Linked DNA regions of Caenorhabditis elegans. The protein of the gene in region 3 interacts with the protein of the main gene of each other region in a pairwise test. Each region holds a gene or a part of one and is shown on either strand. Other genes may lie near its edges. The genes, in order: mel-11, nurf-1, wrm-1 and C39D10.7.

Region 1 (4,681 bases), on a different chromosome or scaffold from region 3:
AGAGTCGAAATATATTGAGCGGTGTTTAATAGACGCAGACACGCCGCGTGCAGGCGGAAAGTTTCAAGTACGTCCCTCCCGGTCTCTTTCTCTTGGATGATGGTGTATCTGCGTCTCGAATCACTAATTCTCTCTTTCTGTCTATATCGTTGAAAATAGAGAGAGAGAGAACGACCTATCCATCGACTTGTCGCCCCTAATCCCGGGGGCACTGTTCCATTTTTTCTCTGGAATTAGTTCAATGTGTCCGTTACTCGAAAATTGTTTTTTAATTTCTCATTTTCTGAACATTGAACCTAGATTTTTTAAACAATGAATTTTTAATTTAAATGCCATAGCCAATGTTTTATATTAACATTGATTGCAAAAAAAAAAGAAATGTTTCTTTCCAAAAATATAACATTTCTTTTGAAATATAAACATTGATTGGCAATTTTCAAAAATTTTAAGCGTTTTTTACAGAAATGCCTTGCCTTTTTCAATTATTTTTCCAAATTTGTTTAGTTAGTCTTCAATGACTCACCGCAAACTTTTTTTAGAAACTTTGGAAACTCTAAATATTTCATTTTATAAAATTTTTGAACATAGATATTTTACACCAATATTTTTAGAAAACAAATTGCACCGGAAATAGTGCCCAATTTCATAATATTTGTTCTCCGGTGTATCCACAATCCAAAACCACCTTTATCACATCACTTTATCTAATTCTCTAAGCCTTTTCTGATCTTCACTGCCTCACTATTTTCACCCACTTGCCGCACTTTTCAATGGATGAGTGGGAGTTGTATTGATTAGTATTATATTTATATATCCTTAAGGATATATTTTTAATGGCGGAGTCCATGGATAGTTTGCTTAAAATTATTGAAAATTGGTCCTAATGAACGAATATATATATTTAAAAATGGTTTTAAATTATTTATAAATTTGAAGTTTGAAATTTTTTTTTTCAGTTTTGCCAAAAAATTCAAATTGCACATTTTTGTTGCAAAATTAAAAAAAATTTAGAACCATTTATAAGTGTTTTATAATTATATACGGTATTCGATTTTTCGATTTTTGGTTTTTTATTTAACAAGAACGTTGCATTTTTTAGATTTTTTTTTTTAGAAAAACCCGTAAATTTTTTGATTTTTTGGTATTTCGGAAAACCGAAAAACCGGCAGATTTCGAAAATTCGGGTATTCACATTCCAAGATTTATACGCAAAAGCTATGAAACTTTAGTCAAAAGATTAATCGAATAGTTGTGGTCTCATATTTCAAAAGAAGGATGAACCGGGAAATGAGTGAACGTTAAAGTAGTGGTGGTGGGATATGAAGAGTAATTGACTTGGAGGTGGTCGAATACGCGGAATAAGTCTCCGGTTTCAGTCACACGCTAAACTGGTCATTTCTTGTGGGTGTCTGTGTGTGAATACGAGTCATTTTTCCCAAGCTTCATCGTTTGATCTATTTTTTCTCGTTTCCAAAACCATAATATTTTTACAAAATACTTTATATATTTTTTGGAATTTCTACCCATTATTGTATCAATGAAACGAACGTCATTTGTATCACTTTTCTCATCGTTCTTTGCTTTTCTGATTGAACCTATCTCAAACAACAACATTTTTTACTAAAAAAATTTCATATTTTGCAGAATGGGTCAAGATGACGAGGACGATGCGCATATGCTGCAAGCAAAGCAGCAAATCACTTTTAATGTTGTGAATAAGAGAAAGGTGAGCTTTTTTCAAAAGTTTGAAAACAAAATTCAACAAAAAAATAAATCTGTAATTTTTGCGAAAAAAAATTTGGTAAAAACCTCGTTTATCACAAATTAAAATAGTAAAATAAAACTAAAATTTTCTTCGTTTAAATTGAAGAAATTGTCTAAATTTATATTTAAATTTCAACATTATAAATTAAAAATCAGTTTGAAATTTCATTTTTGTTAAAAGTGATCTTCGAACTTTAAATATCAAATTTTTGGCCGACTTTCTTCGGTTTTTGCGCCAAAAGTACGGTACCCGGTCTCGACACGAAAGATTTCTGTTAAATGCGAAAAGTTATGCACCTTTAAAGGTTACTGTAACTTTCAAAAAGGAATTTTCATTTTTTTTTCCATAGTTTTCATAGTTGTCTTTTTTTGTTCAGTAAATTAATATATTTTCAAAAACGAAAAACGTTAAAAAAATCATGGAATTTCACAACAATAGTAGGTTGAAATTACAGTACTCTTTAAAGGCGCAAGCCTTTTTGCATTAAACATAAATGAATCGTTTCGAGACCGGGGACCCGTTTTTTGACGTGAAAATCTTTAAAAAATTTCATCTGCTTAATTTTCCAGTTTGAAGCTTGTTCAGTTTTTTTGTAGTTTTTTTTTTCGAATTAAAAATTTGAGAAATTTAAAATTATTCTAGAGAAAGTTTCTGAAAACACCTTGCTCTCTATGATTTTTTGTCTGAACCGTCGTTCTTCCTTCATTTTCCATGTTTCCTCCTCCACCCCCGTTCTCCATTTTTCCTGCCATTTTCCATACAAACACATTGACAATAAAAGTGAGTCAGCGGGCACAGGGACACGACGACGGCGACGACGACGACGTCTCTTTCGTCTCTTCTCCGGAAAAAAAACCACCAAAAGAGAACGTTTTTTGATCTTTTTTTGATAGTTTCCACAGGCTTCCGGTTGAACTTTTTTCTTATCAGTGTCAAGTTTTGACTCATTCTAATCGGACGATTATTCGTTTTATTTTTTTCCATTTGCTTTGAAACTTTTTCTCTTGATCATTCAAAAATTAATTTCTAAAAAAAATTACAAACCAGTAGGTATTTAGTGAACAAAAAAAAAACGACAATCACGACCGAAATCCAGTCGTTTATACTTGTTAATCAATTGTGCAAACAGGTGCAAACACAATTTGTGAGCTCTCTCGGCGTGTGCCAACTTTTACTCTTTTTTACGCCGAGGGTTCGAAGTTTAAACATTCAATAAATTTAATATTTTTTAAACAAAAAAAACCATTTATTTGTAATTTTTAAATTTTCAGGATCAATTGCGCCGTTGGCAGAGCAGCGAGATGAACGCAGAAGCAGCTCGGCGAACGAAACGTCCAAAAGTACAATTTCAAGACAGTGATATTTTTCTGTCGGCATGTATGTCTGGAGATGAAGAAGAAGTTGAAGAACTGTTGAACAAGGGTGCCAATATTAATACTTGTACAGTTGACGGGTTGACCGCATTGCATCAGGTGAGATTTGCATTTATTATTGACAATTTGGTACTTGTATCGTCCATATGTGAAGTTTCGTGAATTTTGTTTAAAAAAATACGATACCCGGTCTCGAGGTGAACCTAAAGGAGTACTGTAGTTTTTCTACAGTTTCTTCAAAATTGCACATGTTTTTCAATAAAAGTTAAACAAACGTTTGAAAACGTATGAAACATCGAGGAAAATCCTGCAACAACAGAGAGCAGGGCTGGAGCAACGAAATTACAAAAAAAAATGAAATTGATAAAAACAAAACGAATTTAATTTGGAATTTATTTTAGAAAACAACCTTAACTTTTTCTGGAAATAAAAGTTCAAAAATAAATTTTAAAAAAATTCTTTTTGAATCCTTAAAAAACACATTTTTCGTAAAAAAAAAGTTCTTTAAAAACAGCTACAGTACTCCTTTAAGGCGCACAATATTTTAAATTTGGTGCTTCGAGACCGTACTTTTGAAACAAATCGCAACGTTTTGCATATGGATAGAACATTGAAAAATTGAAATATTGCATAAACAAAACATTCGAAATTGAATATTTTCAGTCGGTAATTGATTCAAAACCCGAAATGGTTCGATTTCTTTGTGAAAAAGGAGCCGATGTGAATGCACAAGATAATGAAGGATGGACACCTCTTCACGCAGCTGCATGTTGTGGAAATGTGGCAATAGTCAGATATTTGTGTCAACATGGAGCCGATCTCTCAATAGTTAATAGTGATAAAGAGTTAGCACTTGATCTTGCAGTAGATGAACAATGTCGTGATTATCTTGACGATGATTACAAGCGACAAATGATTGATCTCGATGCTTGTAGAGATCAAGAACTTCAGACAATGTTGAAAGATGTGAATATGTGGATGAGTCAGGGAGAATATCGAGATATTCCTCACCACAGAACAGGTGGAACTGCAATGCATGTAGCTGCTGGGCGAGGATACACACAATTACTCGAATTACTTATCAAAGCGGGTGGAAATGTACGGGCACAGGATGTCGAAGGATGGACTCCGTTGCATGCGGCTGCACATTGGGCTGAACGAGATGCATGTAAAATATTATTGGAAAATGGAGCGGAATTATCGGATCTAACGTTTACGGTAGGGGTTTACAGTTTTTCTGTTGCGGTTTTCAAGACCTGGCGCCTGCTTGAAACCTACCAGCCACTCGCCTATTTTCTGTATTCTGGCGTGAATTTTCAAATTTCTTATCTTCGAATTTCAATTCGATGAAAATCAAATTTAAAAAATAAATGAGGAAGGCAGAGGTCGCCTTAATTAAGCCAGGCAGGCGTTTCGACGCCGACATGGAAGTCCTATCAAAGAAAAACGACAACAAAACTGAATTTAAAAACATTTGTCATACCAAAATATGTTTTTTCAAAGATAAAAAATATTATTTACTGAAAAAATGTACAAACTTTAT
Region 2 (4,739 bases), on a different chromosome or scaffold from region 3:
TCATCGTCTTCTTCGTCGTCGTCCTCGTCTTCCTCATCATCATCCTCTTCTTCTGAAGAATCCCTGGCAAGAGTGAGACCGGCTCCTGTAGAAACCACGACATCACAAGAAAATCCACAATCTTCCGCTAACACCTGGGAACTTTTGAACAAATTTTCCTCGAACGGAAGAGAGAAGAGTTTCCCTAATACCTTCTACGGAACAATTGGAAACTATTGAAATGTGATGATGATAACAATATAATAAATGAAATGATTTAATATACATGAAAAGAAGGCATAATTGATACGTGGATGAAAACCAGAGTTAGACCAAGATGTTGGAGAGGTTCGATCTGAAAAAAATACACGTTTAGTTTATAAAGAAGGATTTTTTGGTTAAATAGCTTTAAAATGGACCTATATAAACGAGTCTGGTGGTGAAATATCAAAATTTTTACCGCTCTTCAGTGCCGCCCGCATAATAATAATTAAATAAACATTAAGTTCCGACTGCTGCCAGCCACACAGTAAAGTAGGCAAAACTGAAGATTTTAGTCCAGATTTTAAAAACTTTTGAGCAGTTTCTTCACAAAACTTATTTTTAATTAAATCCCTTACAATTTCTTTCTATTCCCATCGTTAGGCTCATTCGGCGTGGTTTTCAAGAGATTGACGTCATCCGTCCACTTCGCAGATATTGCTTCCAATTTTTCTGGAGTAAATCAGATAAATTGTTTCAAAGACTATCAGCTTACTGTTAAATTCCCGCTCATTTCCAATTTTGTTCTCATCGTCCAATCTTTTTAGTTTTTCTTCCAGTTGCTCAGTTTCAAACATATTTTTGTTCAGTAGCTGTTGTTCGAATGACTGTTGCTCGTGGCGTTCTGAACAAATGTTTTGTTTTATGCACACATCTAAACAATTTCCTTGCAAATTTACCATCGATATGTTTTTGAGCATCGATTCTCGTTTTCATAATTTTTTCCTGGCATTTTTGGAGTTTCCGCATTCCTTCATCAACTAATTCGTCTTTCTCATTGACTGCCTTAAGACGATTAATAATCTTGTCCATATACTCGTTGAGTGACTCCATTTTGCCGAAAAACCTGCAAAAATTCAATGAAAATCGGTTAAAAACTAAGATAAATAAATAAAAATGCGACAGCAAAATTAGCAAAGATAAATTCCAACTCAAATTCCCGCGTCAAGAGGGCCAAGGTCTCGTCGCGACCATTGCAAATAAATGTGTGCGCCTTTAGGGTGTGCCTCTCGCACTGAGTCGATTTACGGCGCGGCGCGTTCAAAAAAGTGTCCAAACTGATTATTTAGACGGAAAAGTGAAGGAAAATTTCGGAAAATTATTATTTTTCCTTTTTTCCCATTGTTTTTTATGTTTCCACTTGAGAAAAGCCGATTTTCCGCTGGAAAATGAGTTTTATCCCATTATCGATTTTTTCAGCTTCAAAAATTAAGATTTCGTACTGTAGTTTACCAATCCTGGATCCTTTTTTAATGTATTTTTATCTAATAATGTTATATTCCGATTGTCATTTCTCGCAAATTTTATTGATTTTCCTCCAAAGACCATATGATGACGTAAAATCTTTTTTTCTTGGATTTCAAGCTCTTTTTCACAATTACCAGTGTTCTAATTTGATTTTAAATTTATTCCTTTCGAGGCTTTCAATATTTTTTGACGAACATTCTTAAGCTTATCGATTTTCGAAAAGTTTCGAAATTTTTTCAGATGGCTCCACCACGTGGCCGTTCAAAGCGAAAGCATCCGTCTGAATCCGGAAATTCTTCAATTGCCGATTCAGAAGACCCATCAGAATCCACATCATCATCTCGTCCACGCCGCAGTCGACTTCCGAAACGTTATTTTGACGACGGTTACAGTCCACCGCCAACAAAAAAACGTGCGGCTCAACGGGAAACACCATCAGACGCCGAGGAGGTGGAGGTGAAGATTGAAGAGATCTCGGTTAGATCTACACCTGCGTCAACACCAGCACCAAAGAGTACCTCGAAGGCTAGAGGGTGAGAAATCAAGAAGAAAAATAATTTCAGAAATTCCGCTGATTTCAGATAATTTTCAATTAAATGCTTTTTTCAAGTTTTAACGCAAATTCTTAGGATATTTCCGCTTTCGTCAAATTTTCAATCGAAAAAACGTATAATACGCTTTTTCACGTCGTTCACAACAAATTATTTAGATTTAAAGAAAAACTATGCAAACCCATTTGCGATGTACAAAAATTTGTCGTTTCGAGATCATATTTTCGCGCCTGGGTAATACCGAATACAACTGCAAAATGTTTCGAATTTTTGCAAATATTCAAATTCCGAAGGAACTATGCTTGCGTTCTCCGGCCAATTTTTCGGGTTTTCTTGATTTTTTCTCATTTTTTCAGAAATCGAAAATTCAAAATTCTTTTTATGATAGTTTTGCGGAAAAACGCCTGAAAACGAGGCTACAATTTGCATAATCAAGAAAAACAAAAATAAAGTGTTCCGCAAAAAAATTAAATTTTGTTTTCAGAAAAATGGAATTTTACTCAAAAATTGAGATTTTTTTTTCACAATCATGGATTTTTTTTCCAAAAAATTGGGAATTTTTCTGAAAAATCCCAATTTTGCAAAATTAAGAATATTTAGAAGCTATATAAATCTGCCTGTTCAGATTAAAAATAAATTCCATCAATTTTCAGCCGACCCAAAAAAAATCCAACTCCACCACGTCGCAAATCGCTAAAACGCCAAGAAGAAGACATTATCTACATGGATGAGGATTCTGAAGAAGAAGAAGAATCTTCGGACGATGAGTTCATGCTAAATGAGGATCAGGTTGTTCAGGAGGAAGAGGAAGAGTTGAATTTAACAGATATTAAAATCGAAAAAGGTCTCGACGAGGAGAACAAGTATTGTCCGTGGTTGGATGAAGATCCTGCAAGTCTACCAAAACTCGAACTACCAGAATCTAGTCAGGATATTCCGATTCCAACGGCTAGTATAATGGATGCTGTTGAAATTTACGAGATTCTCCGATCTTATCATCGAACTCTCCGCATCACACCCTTCACTTTTGAGGACTTTTGCGCGGCACTAATATCGCACAACAACTCATGTATTATGGCAGAAGTCCATATGGCTTTGCTTCGTAATTGTCTGAAATCCGACGATGAAGAGCAGACGCACTACTCGGTGACCGAGACGAACAATTCTGTAAATATAATGATTCACCATATGGATACACTGACCTACGCTGAAATTCTACGACAATATATTGAGGCGTACCCGTTTGCTGATGCGTCTGTTAGAGATGCTATTAATGTCGATAATTATCCGTTTGTGGGATATGATGCAAAGTAAGATTCAATTTTAAGAAAAATCCTTTTTTTTTTAAATAAAATCGCAGTATACAAAGAGACTTTAGTTTTTTTTTTAATATTAAGCATGTTTTCAGACTCGTCGTCCTTCTCTTCATGAGCTACCGTTTCTTATATTCGTCGGAATTTAAGAAACTTGTGAATAATGTTGGAAAATTCCAGGTAAAACTCTCGTTATATAAAAAATTTAACTGAAAGAAATTCAAATGTTTTTTTTTTCAGAACGACGAAAACTGCCGAGTTTGCGGTAAATCGTCAGGACGTGTAGTAGGTTGCACTCAATGCGAAGCCGCTTTCCACGTGGAATGCAGTCATCTGAAGCCATTTCCTGAGGTTCTTGTATGCAATATATGTAAAAAGAATTCAGCAGTTCGTGGTGTACTGCCGCCGGATGAAGCTGTCGACCGGGAACCGTTAAGATCTCAACCAATCGGAAGGGATAGATATGGACGATATTATTGGTTCATTGTTCGACGTCTTGTTGTGTAAGTTTTTTAAAGTGGAGTAGCGTCTGTGCTTTTTTTACCTGAATGATAGAATATCGTGCCTATATACCAAATATAACTGTAAAAAATTATAACATTTTTCTAAATTTTTTAATGATTTGTTTCAATTTTGAAAAAATAAAAAGGGCTCAATTATTTTTGAATTGTCGCGCAAATAAGTGACGTCTTTTTCGGATGTTTTGATTAGTTTTTCTTCATTTTTTCTTTGTTTTAATATTTGTAGATTTTTCAGACATTTTCCGGACAGAACACTTTTAGAGGCCAAATTATCGATTTTTAGACAAACTTTAATTTTTTTGGCACATCAATTTAATGTTTGAATAAGTATTCTAAAATTTGCCTAAAATTTGCCTAAATAATATGATATTTTTAAAAGGTTTTTTTACGGAAAAAAAGTGTCTGAAAAATTGACGTTCAAAATTTTCAAATTATAAAACAAAGAAAAAATAAAGAAACTCCAATTAAAACAGCTGGAAGAAATGCCGTCACTCATTACGCACGGGAATACAAAAATAATTCAGCCCTTTTTTTCAAAATAAAAAAAATCATAAAAAAATTAGAAAAATGTTATAATTTTTTAACAGTTATCGTATATTCTCTATTAGTGCTGCATGTAGCACTAATTTTCCTACCCTTCTTGAATGCAGCACTATTAGAGACTGCAGTATTACTGGAGACTGCAGCATTAATCTTCAAACGGCAATTTTCAATTAGAGAATACTAGTTGTTAGTCACAAAACCTCTTATTTTTAGCAGAAATTCATCAAAAAATATGAACTTTCGTACCAAGAATGACCCAATAATTCAATTATGTTTGTAAATAAAAAGAAATAATCAAAAATATGCAAAACAACTCCCCAAAA
Region 3 (6,561 bases):
AACAGGTGCAACAGTTGCTTTTATTTGCCAATTTTTTTTTGGTTTTTCTGCAAAATTTTCGACTATTTCTCTGCCTTTAATTTCCATTGAAAATTCCTGTATTTTTCGTAAATTTTTTGCCAAATTATGTTTTAAATTTCTCAAATTTGTACCCGAATTCACAGGAATCATTTAGAACACGATTTGTCGATATTGAAACAAAAAACTCAAAGTTAGTTGATTTTCAACAACACGAATAAGCTGAAAATTTCCGATTTATCAACATAAATCATGTGAAAAATGCAATTTTTGACTTGAACCCTACTTTTAGAGGTGAAAATTGAGGAATTTTGCAGATTTTCGGCCAGAAATAGTGAAATATCAGTTTTTTTTGTTAAAACTGAAATTTAGCAGAATTTCAAAAAGAAAAAAAAAACAGGTTTTGCATTTCACAAAAAAATGTTAAATTCTCTAAAATTGATTTTTCCTCGCCGCTGCTCTTGATTCTTCCAATTTCCGGTTCATTTTCAATTCCCCTAAATCCGGCTTTCATTTTTTCTTTTCCTTCTTCTCATCCTCACGCCTCACTTGATATCCTCAAAGTCATAGATTCAAATGTTTCTTCGTCACATTTTTGTCTCCGATGACACGCCTGATGATTTAATAATGTGGTCAAATTGATTGATTACTAGTTGGTTGTTGTCTCTTTCTCTACGAGTCGTGTACACACTGATTCCCTTCAGCCTGAGCAGGTGCATATTATCCATTCGCCAATGCTTCTCCTTTTTTTCGAGCTAACTCGCAAGGTTTTGATTAAAATTTAAATAAAAAACTTTAATCCCAAATCCAGAAATTTTCACATAAAACATTTGTGTGGCCTTTCGAAGTAAACTTCCTGCTCAACGGCATCACATTTTCTTTGATTTATTCACTAGATTAACTTTCAGTATTGAAAGCTTCAATCGAATTCAAAATGTATTGATTCGCGGCGCGGAGGTTTCTAGGCCACCGGCTGTGTACTCCTCTCGGACGGGCGATGCCATTCTTCTTATCAGTTTAAATCTTTTTTTCATCGCAAAACTTACTGATAAACTTTGTGAGTTACGTATTTAATAGGAATAATTTTCTCTCCGCTATTTTCGGATTAAATTTCCCCGAAACATTTTGCAACTGGCCGTTCGTCCTGCTGTTTGAACAGCATTCAAGTGTTGACCCCCCACAGAGTATATACCCATATGAACTGATTTATTGGTTACCCCCGATCGTTTTGCATTTATTATCCATTCACCAATGTTTCAGAAATTCAAAATTTTCTACAAGTGGCTGACTATTCGAAAAAAAAAAATAGAATAAGGTGTCAAAAAGTCTGTCAATATTGAAAAAAGCTCAGTGTCCACTTGAGTATGTTTGACTTGGAAGGTGTGAATAGCAGTTGCTCGAAAGACAATAGGAAAGGGGTTTTGTACTTTTGCACAGCATTCTGAGTTATTTTCTAAAATGAAAAAAATTATTTTTTAAACTTTTCTGTAAATTATATTAAAATTGAGAAAAAAACTATTGCTTTGATTCAAAAAACTCATAAATTAAACAATTTTTAAAATATTTTCTAGTTGCTGCAAGAATTAGATACAATTCTCACAAATCCAAAAGTTCGTAATTCTTTTAACTTCTCTTGAAACTTCTTCATTTTTTTGTGAAATCTCCACACACATCCGATTACTTTCCTTTATTCCCCTCATCAATGGCGTTTTCTCAGGTTCTCACATCGAAATTTCTCATTTTAGCTTAGTTTCAGGTTCCTCAACGGACCTGCAACCACCCATCTGAAATGGATGTGGATTGCGCAGAAACATGTAGGTTCCCCCTTGAAATAATAATTATTAAAAAAATCAATAAAATTTCAGTCTCGCAACCATGCACTCCGCTGAATTTCAATCCGATGACTCCGTCAACATCGAGAGTTTCAACACCAGTTCGGCCGTCTTCTACAATGTCTGCCAGACAATATTCAGGTGAGAAAGATATGAAATTTTGGCTTTACTTCGAAAAAAAGATTAAAAGCGGCCAATTTATGCTTAAGATTTTTAATATTCGGAAAAGAATTATTGTAATCTGAGAATTACTTTCATTTAAGCTGGAATAATTGAAAAGTGCTCCGAAAATTGTCTGAAAGTTGAGAATTGCCCGACAAAATTTTCGACAAATCATCGAAAATTTTTTTCAATTTCTCAAACTGAAACAAAAGTTATCTTCAGATAAAGCAAATATTATTTTCTACTGAAAACATGCCACACTGGCTCAATTACCGCGTACCCCTGATCTAGAATGATTGAATAAAAACTCGTTTGCATAACAATTAATCCAAGAATTTCCTGGTCGATAACATATTCCAAAAGGCCATTTCGCGCCCTTTTCTCTCTCGACCCTCTCCAATCACATCACCTTATCACTTCCCCCATTCCATTTTCGTATGTCTCGTGTGTCTATGTGTTCCCCATTGGAAACTTCCCTCAAATTACATACCTCTTTTCACATATTCATATTTCATTTTTCAGGTTCGCCGTTCAAGGCTCAACCTCAGAACATGGAACCGTCCAATTCTCGGGTGCAAGAACTCCGGGAAGCTGCTGTGGGAAAGCGATCATACACAAATGCTTGGATGCAGGGTACCTATGCACCGCCGCAGATGGCAGGACAACAACAAAGGTTTTCGAGGCCTCCGAGTGTGGTAAGAGATTTTTATAAGAATTCCGCGGCTTGAACAGATAATAAAATCAAATTTCAGATCGGCTCCACAATGTCTCACATGACGAATATGTCAGAAATGACCGCCTACTCGTACGGTGGATTGTCAATGCTCTCAGTCAACACTGAAATGGGTGAATTCAACAATTTTGTCAATCAGGCACCATATCAGCGAGCACTGACACGTGTATCGCAGGTTTCCGAGAATCAGGATCCGACGAATCGACAGTATCCGATGACAGCTCCCGAGATTATTGAGAATCTGGAATCAACGGAACTAATCAATCAAGCAGCAGCGATTCGAGCTTTGGAGCCAATTGTGAAAGCTGGTGGAATGTTGCAAACCTGGGGACCTAAAGGAGCCGAACCGATTATTCGAGCTCTGTTTCAAGTTCTTATTCCTCGGCCAGTTGAGAATGAGAATGTAAGTTTTGCATAAATGTTCGTTGAAGGTTTTCATGGTAGGTAGGAACATCGTCATCCCTAAGTGGATGCCTACAGCCTAATATTGTTTAAAAATCTAAAATCTAAATCTAAAAAAATCTTTCAAAAAAAAAAAAAAATATATATAGATGTATTAAAATATCGTTTGACAACTCCATATTTTTTGTAGGTAATCCGGAAAGCGTTTGAAATTCTCCACCACTCAATTCTTCTCTCCAACAAGGAAATCCGACGTATCGACAGGATGTTCTTCCGACTGAATGCGGCATTAATGGATCCCAATGGGCCGCCTGTGTTCAATGTACCAAAGCCATACAGTATCTATGAGATCGTGATGACACGTGCCATTCAACTTGACACGAAATTCGAGTCCAGTGCTATGGTTCTGCTCGTACATCTTTGTTGTAAACCTCATTTCATGAAGATTTTCTTTGGAGAAGATGAGACTCAACAGTCACCAGCACATCGACGTCTTCACAAAATAGTAATTGAATTTGCAATTGGAAACCTGAGAAGACCGGAAACGAAGTCAAAGAATAAGGGACTTTGTGTATCGATTATTAAGAATTTGTCGAATAAAAATGCAACTATCAAAGATATGTCAGAACGTCTTGGTGTTGTGAGCCTCTTTCATCAAATTATGCAGAACGAAGTGATCCACGAGGATTTGTTGTGGTCAACGATGCAGGCTCTTACCGTATTCTGTGGAGATGTTAAGAATGGAACACATTTTGTGCAAATGGGTGGAGCACAAGTTTTGTGCGGTCTTCTTTCGCATGGATCAACACGACTTCTTCACGAACTTCTGAAGTGTTTGAGACGAGTATCAGATTTGCCAGCGATCCAGGAGCAGGATATGAAAGAATCGATTCATTGTATAGTTCAACTTATTGGATGTTCGGATGTAACGATTGTTGAGCTAGCGACTGGAACTCTACGAAATATTGGACTTCATAACAAGATGAACAAGGCATTTATGGTGCAGGATGGAGTTACAAGTCATGCGATCGCAGTTCTTCGGACATCTGAACAGTTTACATATCAGCCACGTTAGTTTTGAAATATTCAATCTGAAATTCTAATTTACTTATTTTTCAGATGCCAATATAGATTTATATAGAAAGCAGATTCTGTCGATTTATGAAAATTGTCTATCCGTATTGAACAATGTGACTTCTATGGCACCTCAAGATATCAAAGAATCTGCAGTATCAGCGTGTAGAATGATCAGTGAGAATGCCGACTCCGCATATGTGCTCCTTCATTACTTTAACGTTGGAAATCGGAAGTGCAGGAAACTTGCGGTGACAGTAATGAAACGTGTCATTGAGACGGTTCCTGCTTTTGCTGATCCGTTTGTTGATCTACTTGGAACAACAAATGAGCCACTACCAATTTTATTGCTTCAAAGAGCATTCCAGAGTTTGGACGAATGGCGGAAAACTGTAAGCTATAAATTAAATTCGTAGAAACAAATAAATTATAATTGATTTTCAGAGCGTTGAAATGATGAATTGTGACGGTAGAAGTGCTGAGCAGAGAAGAGAATTAGATGACAGACGAAAAGATCACGAAGATATTGTAAAACGATCTGTGGGACTTTTAACGAATCTTTGTAGTCAGGCAAATCCAAGATTTTTCCACAGTTTGAAGCTAGTATTGACGTAAGTTTTTTACACTGAAAATCACAATTGAAATAATTAATTTCATTTTATTCCAGAAATGGCACGCTAAACCCCTTCCAATGGCTGACACATGAGATGAGTGACGGTATTCTGCAAGAGTGGCTAGCATTCATTTTGTCAATTTGTAGTCGTGACGAGTCACTGCAAACTTTTATGATGTACAGATTCCTGGAACAGGCAAAAATGACTGAAGCATTCTTTGCGGAACTCAAGGCTCGTCGGCAGAATTCGAATATTCGTGAGTTTTTAACTTCTGAAGAAACTAACAAAAAATACGAATTTTTAAAATACACAAACGCGAAATTTTTCAATTTTGCGCCAAGAATTACGGTAACTTTTTGTTGAATGCAAATATGTGCTTTCATAAATAGTTTTTTTTGTAAAAAATATACGTTTCAATTGAAATATTTGGGGGTTTTGTGAATTATTATTTATGAAAACCTATGAACAATCTATGAAAATTCAGCAGAAACTAAAATTTCATAATGCAGGACTTTTAAAGGCGCACACCATTTTGCATTTAACAAAAGCTTGTCGTGTCGAGACCGGGTACTGTATTTTTGGCGCAAAATTTAGCTACTTCCAGAACATTAAAAGCCTCTTCATTTCTATCACTGCGATAAAAAAAATTACAACCGTGTTTAGAAATTTTATAAATTCTGAAATATGAAATTTTTTATTCCCATAATTCCCTTTTACAATTCACGATCTATTTCAGAAACTATGTTGTCAAAGATCATCGATCTTGGTAGACATCAGCAGAGAATAGTTTCACAACAACATCAACAGCATCAAATGCAGCATCATCGACAACTAATGTGAATGAATCTTTGTGCGGGTACAGAATTCCCTACTCCCGGTGCACAGACACACAATCTCAATCAAATCGATCTTCCAGTTTTATTCATGTGCTATTATATATTTATCTTCATTCCATCCCCATGTTCCCTTATGTAGTTTCACATCAAATACCCACTTCATTTCGTTGTTCTCATTATCAGTATTTGGAGCATATCACTCCCCAATCTAATTAGTTTTTTCCCATCTATCCGTATTATTTGTTGCTCACTTCATTTCTCCAACCATCTCTCAATTATCTCATGTTCTATTACAAGTGCGAACTCTTTTCGACAATTTGATAACGGGCCCTTTTTTTTCGTCTATCGTGTATATGAATTATTTATTAGACTTTAATCTAGAAGACACAAGAAGATTCATCTAGAAGACACAAGAAGACGGACAAAAATTATGATGTAAATCAGAGAAGAGATCAGATATGAGATGAAGGAAGCAATGCGCCAAGCACGATCACCACCAGTTTCAACTGTGTGCACACCATTCGAAAACGTGTAGCAGTGCGCAAAGATGGCGCCAGTCTGAAAAATTGTAAAATTTTGTTACTTTTTTAGAGGATCGCTGGATACCCAAAATAAGATCTGAAGCAGGAAGTGGGCAAAGACGGAAAATGTATTCGGGGCACAAATGATGAACAGGGATAAGCCGACAAGAAGAAACTGAAATATTGAAAAAAAATTGCCACGTGTCACATACATACAGGCGGTCTCACTTCAAAGACATACCACCACGGCTACGAATTTTTGACAAGCAAAATGTGCAGGGTCAGAATGGCACAATGAATGAGTGCCATCATGATGAACCACACATAAACTGGCATACAGAAGCATGGATCTTGCGCAGTGGCTCCTAG
Region 4 (8,003 bases), on a different chromosome or scaffold from region 3:
TATCGGAGCAATTTCTCAATTGGTGCAAAATGATGCAAGTATATTTATTCTTGTGCGGCCTGGGTTACTTACGTGGCCCGTGACGTAGCAAACATGACGTCAGCAGCAGCTGGAAAGTAATACCACATGGTGTGACCTGTCTTCTACCAATTGGAAGGGGTCAAACGTACAGGAATGATAATTACGCTGGATGTTTGGTAGAATATGCTTATATTATATCATTTAAGATATTCTAAGATGGTTGATAATCCAATAATATTGAGTTGTCATTTCGGCACGACAATGAACGTTTTAAAGTAAAAATAACTGTAGATGTATAATTCTATATTACAAACTTAACAATTAAAGTTGAATAAATTTATAAAATGAATTGAAAAATTCGAAGAGAAACTGGATGGAAGTTGTTTTTTTTAAGAAACATTTTTTAAGACATATTTTTGACACTAGTTGAGGTTATATATTGAATTTTTAGCTGAAATAAATACCCTATTGAATTTAGTAAAGCAGTTTCAAATACGTTTTCATACATTAACAAATTGAATGTATTTTCAAACTTTTTTATTTTTCGAAAAAAAGTCTCATTTTCTTTTATTGTAGTCTAGAAAACAGACAGTTTTTTTTAATTTTTAATTGTAACAAGACTATGAATAATTTCCAAATATATAACGTTTCTTTAATTTCTAATTCTGTTTCAACTTCCATCTCACCTGGAATGGAATTAATGATTTCATGTATACTCATACTTCTTATAAGTGATATCATTTTTGACAGCAATGCGGAAAATGTTAGAATATCACAGATTGTGCAATAGTTGTTCTCGCTTGAAAATTTTCCCATCAGGAAATGAACATTTTTCTTCCAGGACAAATGCTGCCGGAAGATTCAAATGATAAGAGATATCAACTGTGGGCGGGATCGAGAAGAGCAATGGTGAGGCTCGAAGAGGTCACTACGTCAGAACTGTTTCGAGAAGGGTATGCGAATTGAATAATGCAGATTGATTATTTTAAAATTGTATGTTTCAAATTGATTAGTGTGACTAATTAAATAACCTGGAATAAACACTCGTGATAATTAACTGGTTGCGATATTTAACAATGTAAATAAAAATAGTTAAAATAAAATTTTAAGTGAAACATGTTAAACTATGAAGGAAAATTACGGTTGAAACATTATTTGTGTTACTACTATTTCACATTTACTCTTTTTGGCTACAAACGATTTTATGTTAAATTCAGTTTTTAATCGTTATATTAGAGATTCAAAAAAAACTTACCCAGAACATGTTCAGCAATTAATTATAATTATATTCGCTACTTTATTGAATATTTCGTTTGTAAATCTCATGTTGTTTCGTCGATAAGGTACTTTTTAAGAAGATATAATTATTCTACAACCAGGTTAATTTTGACAATGCCAGAAAAATACTATAGTTTCCGGAAATATCTTTCTAATCCGTTTTTTTTCTACAAAAACACATGCGCATCGAACATCATCCGTTTCCAAGGCTGTCCGAACTTTTGCACGATTTGCAAGTCGTGTTTTCTTGTGGTAAACAGTCAATAATCTCGTAATTACTATTGACTGGATACGTCAATTCGTTCATTCCGGGTCACCCGGTAAACTTAGAGATTGTCATAAGGAAAAACGAAAATAAAATAAGATCTCAGTTTTCGAGGTACTTATTCTTTCTAGATTGAACACTATACTTGCAAAGAAAAGAATGTGAATGTTTCGTTGATTCATTTTTCTTTTTTAGTGCTTGATATTCTTTTATTTATTAATAAATATCTGATGGATTGGGCTTTTGATCAATATCTGAATTCCAATCTACAGGTTTTCTAGCTTTTTATCAATAAGAGCAGAACAAAATCCGCCCACCATCCAAGACAGAACAGATTGACAATATAAAAGCATTGTGTTTCAGATAAACAATCATTCACATTTCTTTCAAATTTTCTTCTCGCAATTTTCTTTTTATTTTTTAGATGCGACAGCTTTCAATATTTGCGGCGGCTGTCATCCTCATCTCGGCGGACGCCAAAAATGTTCTGAACCCGAAAGGACCACCATGCCCGGATGGTGACGGGCTTTATGCTGTTGGTTGCAGCTCAAAGTATCTTCAGTGTGTCAACGTGAGTTTTCTTTTGGAGCTTTACAAGGGAAGTCGATAAACTTAATGTCTGACTTTGGCATGACATAGTATTTTTTCGATAAAAGAGTGATAATAATGATCCCTCCAAAAAATTTAGCTGCCCCGGTCCAGGTTTAGCAAAGTTATGATGTTTTGAAAGTGCCGAAAAAATTTCTTGACCTACCAAAAAAAAAACTTTTAAAATTTCAAAAAAAAAAATTGTTTTCTGAAAATCGATAAAAACTGTTTTAACTTATCCAAAACAGTGAAAAGCATATATCATACACGTTTTTTCTCACCACGGACAAAAAACCACATACCTTGAGCAAAATTCCAAAAAGTACTTTTTCTGGTAGATTAGTTTGTGGGTTTTCTTGAGAGTTGTGAGCTAAAACAACTTGCAAACATTTTTTCCTCTTTTTAGAAAAAAATGTTTTTTTTTTGAAAATTTTGAAATTTTGTAAAAAGGTGTTTTAGTCACTTTCAAAACGTCATAACTTTGCTGAACCTGGATCGGGGCAGCTAAATTTTTTGGAGGGATCATTATTTTCATTATTTTATCGAAAAAATACTATTTCATGCCAAAGTCAGACATTAAATTTTTCAACTTACATCTTTAAAAAATATACTATAACGATTTGCAATATTTGTACCTTTCACGTCACATATTTTGCAATAGAACAGTCATAAAAATTTGCAATTCAAATTTTCGAATTTTAAAGATAATACCAAATTTTTTTAGCTCGAAAATTTTCATGATACTTTGAAAATGAAAAAAAAGCGACAAAAAGCGAGCCATTGTGAGAAAAAAAAGAATAACTGTGAAATAGGCGAGTCGACCCATTACGACCCATACGCATCTCTAGCTGATACCATTTTTTAATGAAACAAATATTTATTTTCTTTTCTTATTTCTTTTGAGACCACTTCAAAGTAATGGAAAACTATTGTAAGGGAATGTTTAAACCATAAATCTGAATTTAATTAAAATTTTTTATATAATTTTCAGAATGTTGAATATGAGCAGTCATGCCCAGAGGGTCTTTATTTTGACCGCTTATTAGCACGTTGTGAGCGTCGTTCTAGCAACCATCTCTGTGCCACAGGTGATCGTGTAACACTCAATGTCCGCCAAAAGGCCGTGTGAGTTTTATTGGAAAATTATTTTTTCTGAAATATTTTAATTGAAAAATTTCAGTTCGATAAATTGTGTGGGCAGACTTAGTGGGGATTATGCACTGGACAAGACTGTGTGTAATGAAAACTATTATCAGTGTGCAAATGGAATATCTTACATGAGAAAGTTAGTTTCAAGTGCAGAAAACTTATTAAAGAAAACACATAATCAATTTGAAGGTGTCCATACCAGCAAGTATACGTTCCAATTCTCAAGCGATGCGATTACCACACCAACTGTAATGCTTCTGGAGGAGTTAAAGATCAAGCAGCTGCTGCCTATGCTTCACCAACATATGATTCGGATAACTACATCGTCACTACCAAAGAATTTGAAAATGGGCACAATGGTTCGGCCTTACTAGTATTATTATCATTAAAAATGTTTATTTAAGGATTGGACTGTAAAGTTACTGGAGACATGCATTTCACTGATAACGTGAAGTGTTCCCCATATTTCTGGCAGTGTTCGAATGGAAAGCTGTTCAGAAAAACTTGTCCAGAAAAGCTAATCTACGTTTTGGACCAAAACCTGTGTGACTTTCCAGAGTCTGTGAAAGATTGTCCAGAATATAACGGGTGAGTTGATCAAATTTGTTGTGTAAATGAAGAAAACTTAACAAAACTTACTTTTGGGTAATTTATTTCAGCTCCGAAACTTCGTATAGAGCACCAAAAACCACTACTTCTTCTTCTTCTTATGGGTCAATTGCTGAAGCTCCAGTGGATCCAACCCCATATGCTCCAGCTTCCGCGCCAGTCTATTCCCCACCAAGAACAACCTACGTCCCACGCTCGACATCAGCAGCTCCACCAAATCCACCACCACAAAATCCAACTGCTGCCCCATATGTTCCAACTGAAGCTACACCTTCACCTGTCTTCTCTTCAACAGTCAGATACAATCCAGCAGTACACGGAGATTGCAAAAATAGAGACGGAATCTTTGGAATCAAAGAGTGCCACGCATCATTTTTGAGTTGTGACAACGGAGTTGGTCGGGTTATTCAATGCGCGGATAATCTTGTATTCGACACAAGAGTGTCAGCTTGCGAATTCGCAGCAATTTGTCTGTAAGTTGAATATTCATTTCAAATTGAAATTTGTTACTGTATAGGTTTGGAGTTTTTGTCAGTTTCCCTGTCATAAGGTTTACTCAAGAAAAAATCTGAATCGGAAGTTGATTTACTTTCGTAATAATCTTCTCATAAATATGATATAAATAAGTCAAATCTAAAAACAAAATTTAGAGAGCCACGAAAACCAGAAGATGTACCTGTTCTTTACAATCACGGAGGAGCCTATAACGAGAGACCAGCTGAAGTGAAAGTAGACTTTGACTGTACCGGAAAACCAAACGGAAAGTACATCAAGGAAGCATGCACCAAAAGCTTCTTCACTTGTCACGATGGAAGAGCTTTTGCGAATGACTGTCCTGGCGATCTAGTCTTTAACAAAGCTACTGGCACCTGTGATTTTGCTGAAAACTGTGAAAAGTACCAATCTCAAATTGTTTGAAAAGTTATAAAATCAAAATTTCAGAAACTACATGGAACCATCTCAAATTTACAAAGGTGAAGACACTCCAACTACTACAATTGGATACTCGTCGTCCGTAGTGTACACAACCACTGAACAACCAGCAACAAAGCCGTACACACAGCCACCAAGAGACACTGAACGGCCATCAACGATTTACGGACGTCCAATTTACACCAAGGCTCCGACCACTGTTGGATATGAACAACCAAAAGCTACATACACTACTCAGGCTCCAGTCACAACTACAATTGCTTTGGACGAGTGAGTTTTTTAATTTCAAGGAAAAAACTCCCTCTTTGGACTAGATCACTATAAAAATTTTAGCAGCTTTTTTTTACTCAATTTTTACTCAATTTTACTCAATTGGGAGTTCCTGAAATAGACATCTAACTTTTTCCAGTTTTTTCAAGGAATTAGATTCATAAAATATCTTCAATGACAGTGTCTGTCACAAAAATGCTATTGGAGGTATTTGAAATTTAACAAACATCTTGGAAACTGAATGAAAGTTTTTAGAAATTTTCTCAATCAGACAGTTTCCGACAAAAATTGCGTTCCTTTAGTTGGAAAACTTCTAATGTGTAAAGACACAGCTGTGTTATTTTTAATGTTCTAGTTTATTTTTTTCAAATAATTTGAGACTATCTGAGATTATGCAAATAGCTGAAATCTGATTTAAAAAAGCGGCAAAAAATTTGAGATATTGTTCAATTACGAATTTTATCCAATTTAAAAGTAAGAAGTATATTGTATAATTTCAAGGAAAATTTTTTTAAAGGTTTTTCAATTAATGTTTTAGGTTAAGCAGCGGAAACCATTTTAATCTATTTCAAACAAAAATTCCCCCTAAGAGCTTACAACATTTTTGTCAAAAGTGTTCCAGTTATAATTATACTTTCCAGCTTTTCCTGCAAACACCTCGCTGATGGAAACCATGCCTCTGGTCTCTGCAAGAGCGTATTCTACATTTGCGCAAACGGACAAGTCGTTGCAACTACATGTCCAGCAAATCTGATCTTCAATCCATATGTCGGAGAATGTGATTACAGTACGAATGTCCGAGATTGTCAAGGGTACCAACCAACCACCACTCCATCATACTCCTACCCTAAAACTACCAGCAAACCATATGAACAACCAAGTACCACCCAAGGATATGCTCCAATTGAATATACTCCGGTTACTCCAGGGTACGCACCACAATACACATCAACAATCTTCACAACAACTCTATCCCCAAAATACGCTGCAATGTGTGCAAAACGTGATGATGGAAACTATGGATTTGACTGCGAAAAATACTTGATCAAATGCTACAATCGTAAAACATTCAAGTTCCCTTGCCCGTCAGGATTGTACTACAGTCGTCTACAAGATAAATGTGACGTGAAGGAAAATGTGGAGGGATGTCCAGAGTACAAACCAACTACAGACGCAACACCAGCTGCCGAGCAACCAGTCATTTCATATCAAAACTATGGATACTCTCAAAGCACCACCAAAGCGTACAATCCATCCGTGACCACTCCATCGCCACAGCATGCTGCTTTCTGTGAAAGACTCGAAAATGGAAACTACGGTCTTGATTGTGAGGACTATTACATCTCGTGCAACAACTTTGAGACTACAATTAATCGTTGCCCCGCAGGATTGTTTTACAGCAAATTGAACAATCGATGTGACTACAAGGAGCATGTCGAAGATTGCCCAGAATACAAGCCAACTCCTTCTACAACACCAGCAGCAGAGCAACCAGGCACGACAAAATATACAACTTACAACTACCCAAACATTGATTACACCTCCACAACTCCAGGACCAGTAGACACCACACCGTTGGCAAAGGCGTTCTCCTGCTCCGGACGTCCTGATGGAATCTATGCTCTTCCGTACTGCTCACAAGACTACGTTCAATGCATGCAAGGTTAGACTGTGCAAAATCACAAGTTATCTGAAAGTAAGCAATTATTAATTGCAGGTCGTTCACTTATTTCCTCATGTGCCCCCGGACTTTTTTACAACGAAAAGAATGGAATGTGTGCTTACAAACACACCGTGGATACATGCAAAATGTAAGCATATCGGAGTACTGAATTTGATGTGGTGGATTAATGTAATCGTACCTAATGAACTTAGTTTTTTAAAGAACTTTCAACTTTCATTTTAATAATTTTAGCGGCAAAGGATCTGACATAATCGATTCGAATGCTTGTTTTGGAAAATCAGATGGTTATTACTCTGCTGGGTGCTCCTCATATTACTTTTCCTGCATTGATGAACAGATTCGTAAGGTATGTTCCGATTAATGTTGTTCAGTATTTCGCAAAATTTTTTAGATGAGCTGCCCGAACAGTCTCAAATTCTCCAAGGAATCCGAAAAGTGTGTATTCCCAATTGACGCAAAGGAATGCTCAATTGCAACCACTCTAGACAGAACACCTCCAGCGTAAGATTTTGTCATGTTACTGCTCTGATGAAACATTTACTTTCAGAGTGCCAAGTGATTTCTGCACGATCAGATCTAACGGACTCCACCACCTCAAAATGTGCTCCCCACATTACATTGTCTGTGACAACGGAAGAGCCTTTGTGAGTTTATTAAAATATATACATTCAAAAATAATATATGCTTTTCAGTCTGGAACTTGTATTGCTCCATTGGTGTACAATGGGGACACGCAAACTTGTAATTATAAGAGCACCAATAAGGACTGTGGCAATGATTACATACCTCCAGTTGCTGAAGTCACATCTAGTTACACAACTTACACCACCAAAAGATTTGAGCAGCCAGCTCCAACCACGACTGCAGCCCCGTATCAACCTCAAACAACGACTACTGGAAAGGTTCTCTACAAAGCTGCATATACCACCACCGCTACACAGTATGAAGAACCAGCAACAACTCCCTCTCGCGATGTAGAGACTCCAACCACCACTACTCACAAACCGTACGAGACAACCACTGAAGCACAAGATGCAACCACAACTACTACAGCTTCATATGTGGCCCCAACTACAAGTTCTGCGTATAAGTCATATTAATATATACACTTATTTTTGCCTTACGTCTTTTTTGAGTTTTCAATGAATTATTATATTTAGAAAAAAAGAGTTTTGAAGCATTAAACATTTAAATTGGGACAGCAAA

Evidence for each region.
Region 1: the proteins of wrm-1 (region 3) and mel-11 interact in a two-hybrid assay, tested with the Caenorhabditis elegans proteins (one large-scale study listed by BioGRID).
Region 2: the proteins of wrm-1 (region 3) and nurf-1 interact in a two-hybrid assay, tested with the Caenorhabditis elegans proteins (one large-scale study listed by BioGRID).
Region 4: the proteins of wrm-1 (region 3) and C39D10.7 interact in a two-hybrid assay, tested with the Caenorhabditis elegans proteins (one large-scale study listed by BioGRID).

The regions. Positions count from the first base shown.
Region 1 is NC_003280.10:9,356,889-9,361,569, forward strand, and holds the start of mel-11 (cGMP-dependent protein kinase interacting domain-containing protein), read left to right. Parts: upstream 1-1,642; 5' UTR 1,643-1,645; coding exon 1,646-1,726; intron 1,727-3,036; coding exon 3,037-3,237; intron 3,238-3,801; coding exon 3,802-4,356; intron 4,357-4,681.
Region 2 is NC_003280.10:14,388,992-14,393,730, forward strand, and holds the start of nurf-1 (DDT domain-containing protein), read left to right. Parts: upstream 1-1,722; 5' UTR 1,723-1,728; coding exon 1,729-2,021; intron 2,022-2,692; coding exon 2,693-3,349; intron 3,350-3,447; coding exon 3,448-3,532; intron 3,533-3,592; coding exon 3,593-3,855; intron 3,856-4,739. Other genes in the region: kbp-3 (Kinetochore-binding protein 3), read right to left, coding at 307-334, 600-693, 737-865, 921-1,074. UniProt on the Caenorhabditis elegans protein: Histone-binding component of a NURF-like (nucleosome remodeling factor-like) complex, which would catalyze ATP-dependent nucleosome sliding and facilitate transcription of chromatin. Involved in vulval cell fates.
Region 3 is NC_003281.10:5,721,076-5,727,636, forward strand, and holds wrm-1 (Armadillo repeat-containing protein wrm-1), read left to right. Parts: upstream 1-1,774; 5' UTR 1,775-1,807; coding exon 1,808-1,832; intron 1,833-1,883; coding exon 1,884-1,991; intron 1,992-2,534; coding exon 2,535-2,707; intron 2,708-2,764; coding exon 2,765-3,148; intron 3,149-3,337; coding exon 3,338-4,217; intron 4,218-4,266; coding exon 4,267-4,613; intron 4,614-4,665; coding exon 4,666-4,832; intron 4,833-4,888; coding exon 4,889-5,091; intron 5,092-5,571; coding exon 5,572-5,675; 3' UTR 5,676-6,040; downstream 6,041-6,561. UniProt on the Caenorhabditis elegans protein: Antagonistic role in the Wnt signaling pathway that operates in embryogenesis. When located at the cortex it has been shown to inhibit Wnt signaling during asymmetric cell division but when relocated to the nucleus it shows positive regulation.
Region 4 is NC_003284.9:7,907,916-7,915,918, reverse strand, and holds C39D10.7 (Chitin-binding type-2 domain-containing protein), read left to right. Parts: upstream 1-1,988; coding exon 1,989-2,135; intron 2,136-3,143; coding exon 3,144-3,277; intron 3,278-3,332; coding exon 3,333-3,437; intron 3,438-3,490; coding exon 3,491-3,660; intron 3,661-3,705; coding exon 3,706-3,889; intron 3,890-3,960; coding exon 3,961-4,383; intron 4,384-4,560; coding exon 4,561-4,806; intron 4,807-4,852; coding exon 4,853-5,113; intron 5,114-5,754; coding exon 5,755-6,776; intron 6,777-6,830; coding exon 6,831-6,924; intron 6,925-7,028; coding exon 7,029-7,143; intron 7,144-7,188; coding exon 7,189-7,298; intron 7,299-7,344; coding exon 7,345-7,441; intron 7,442-7,489; coding exon 7,490-7,897; 3' UTR 7,898-7,953; downstream 7,954-8,003.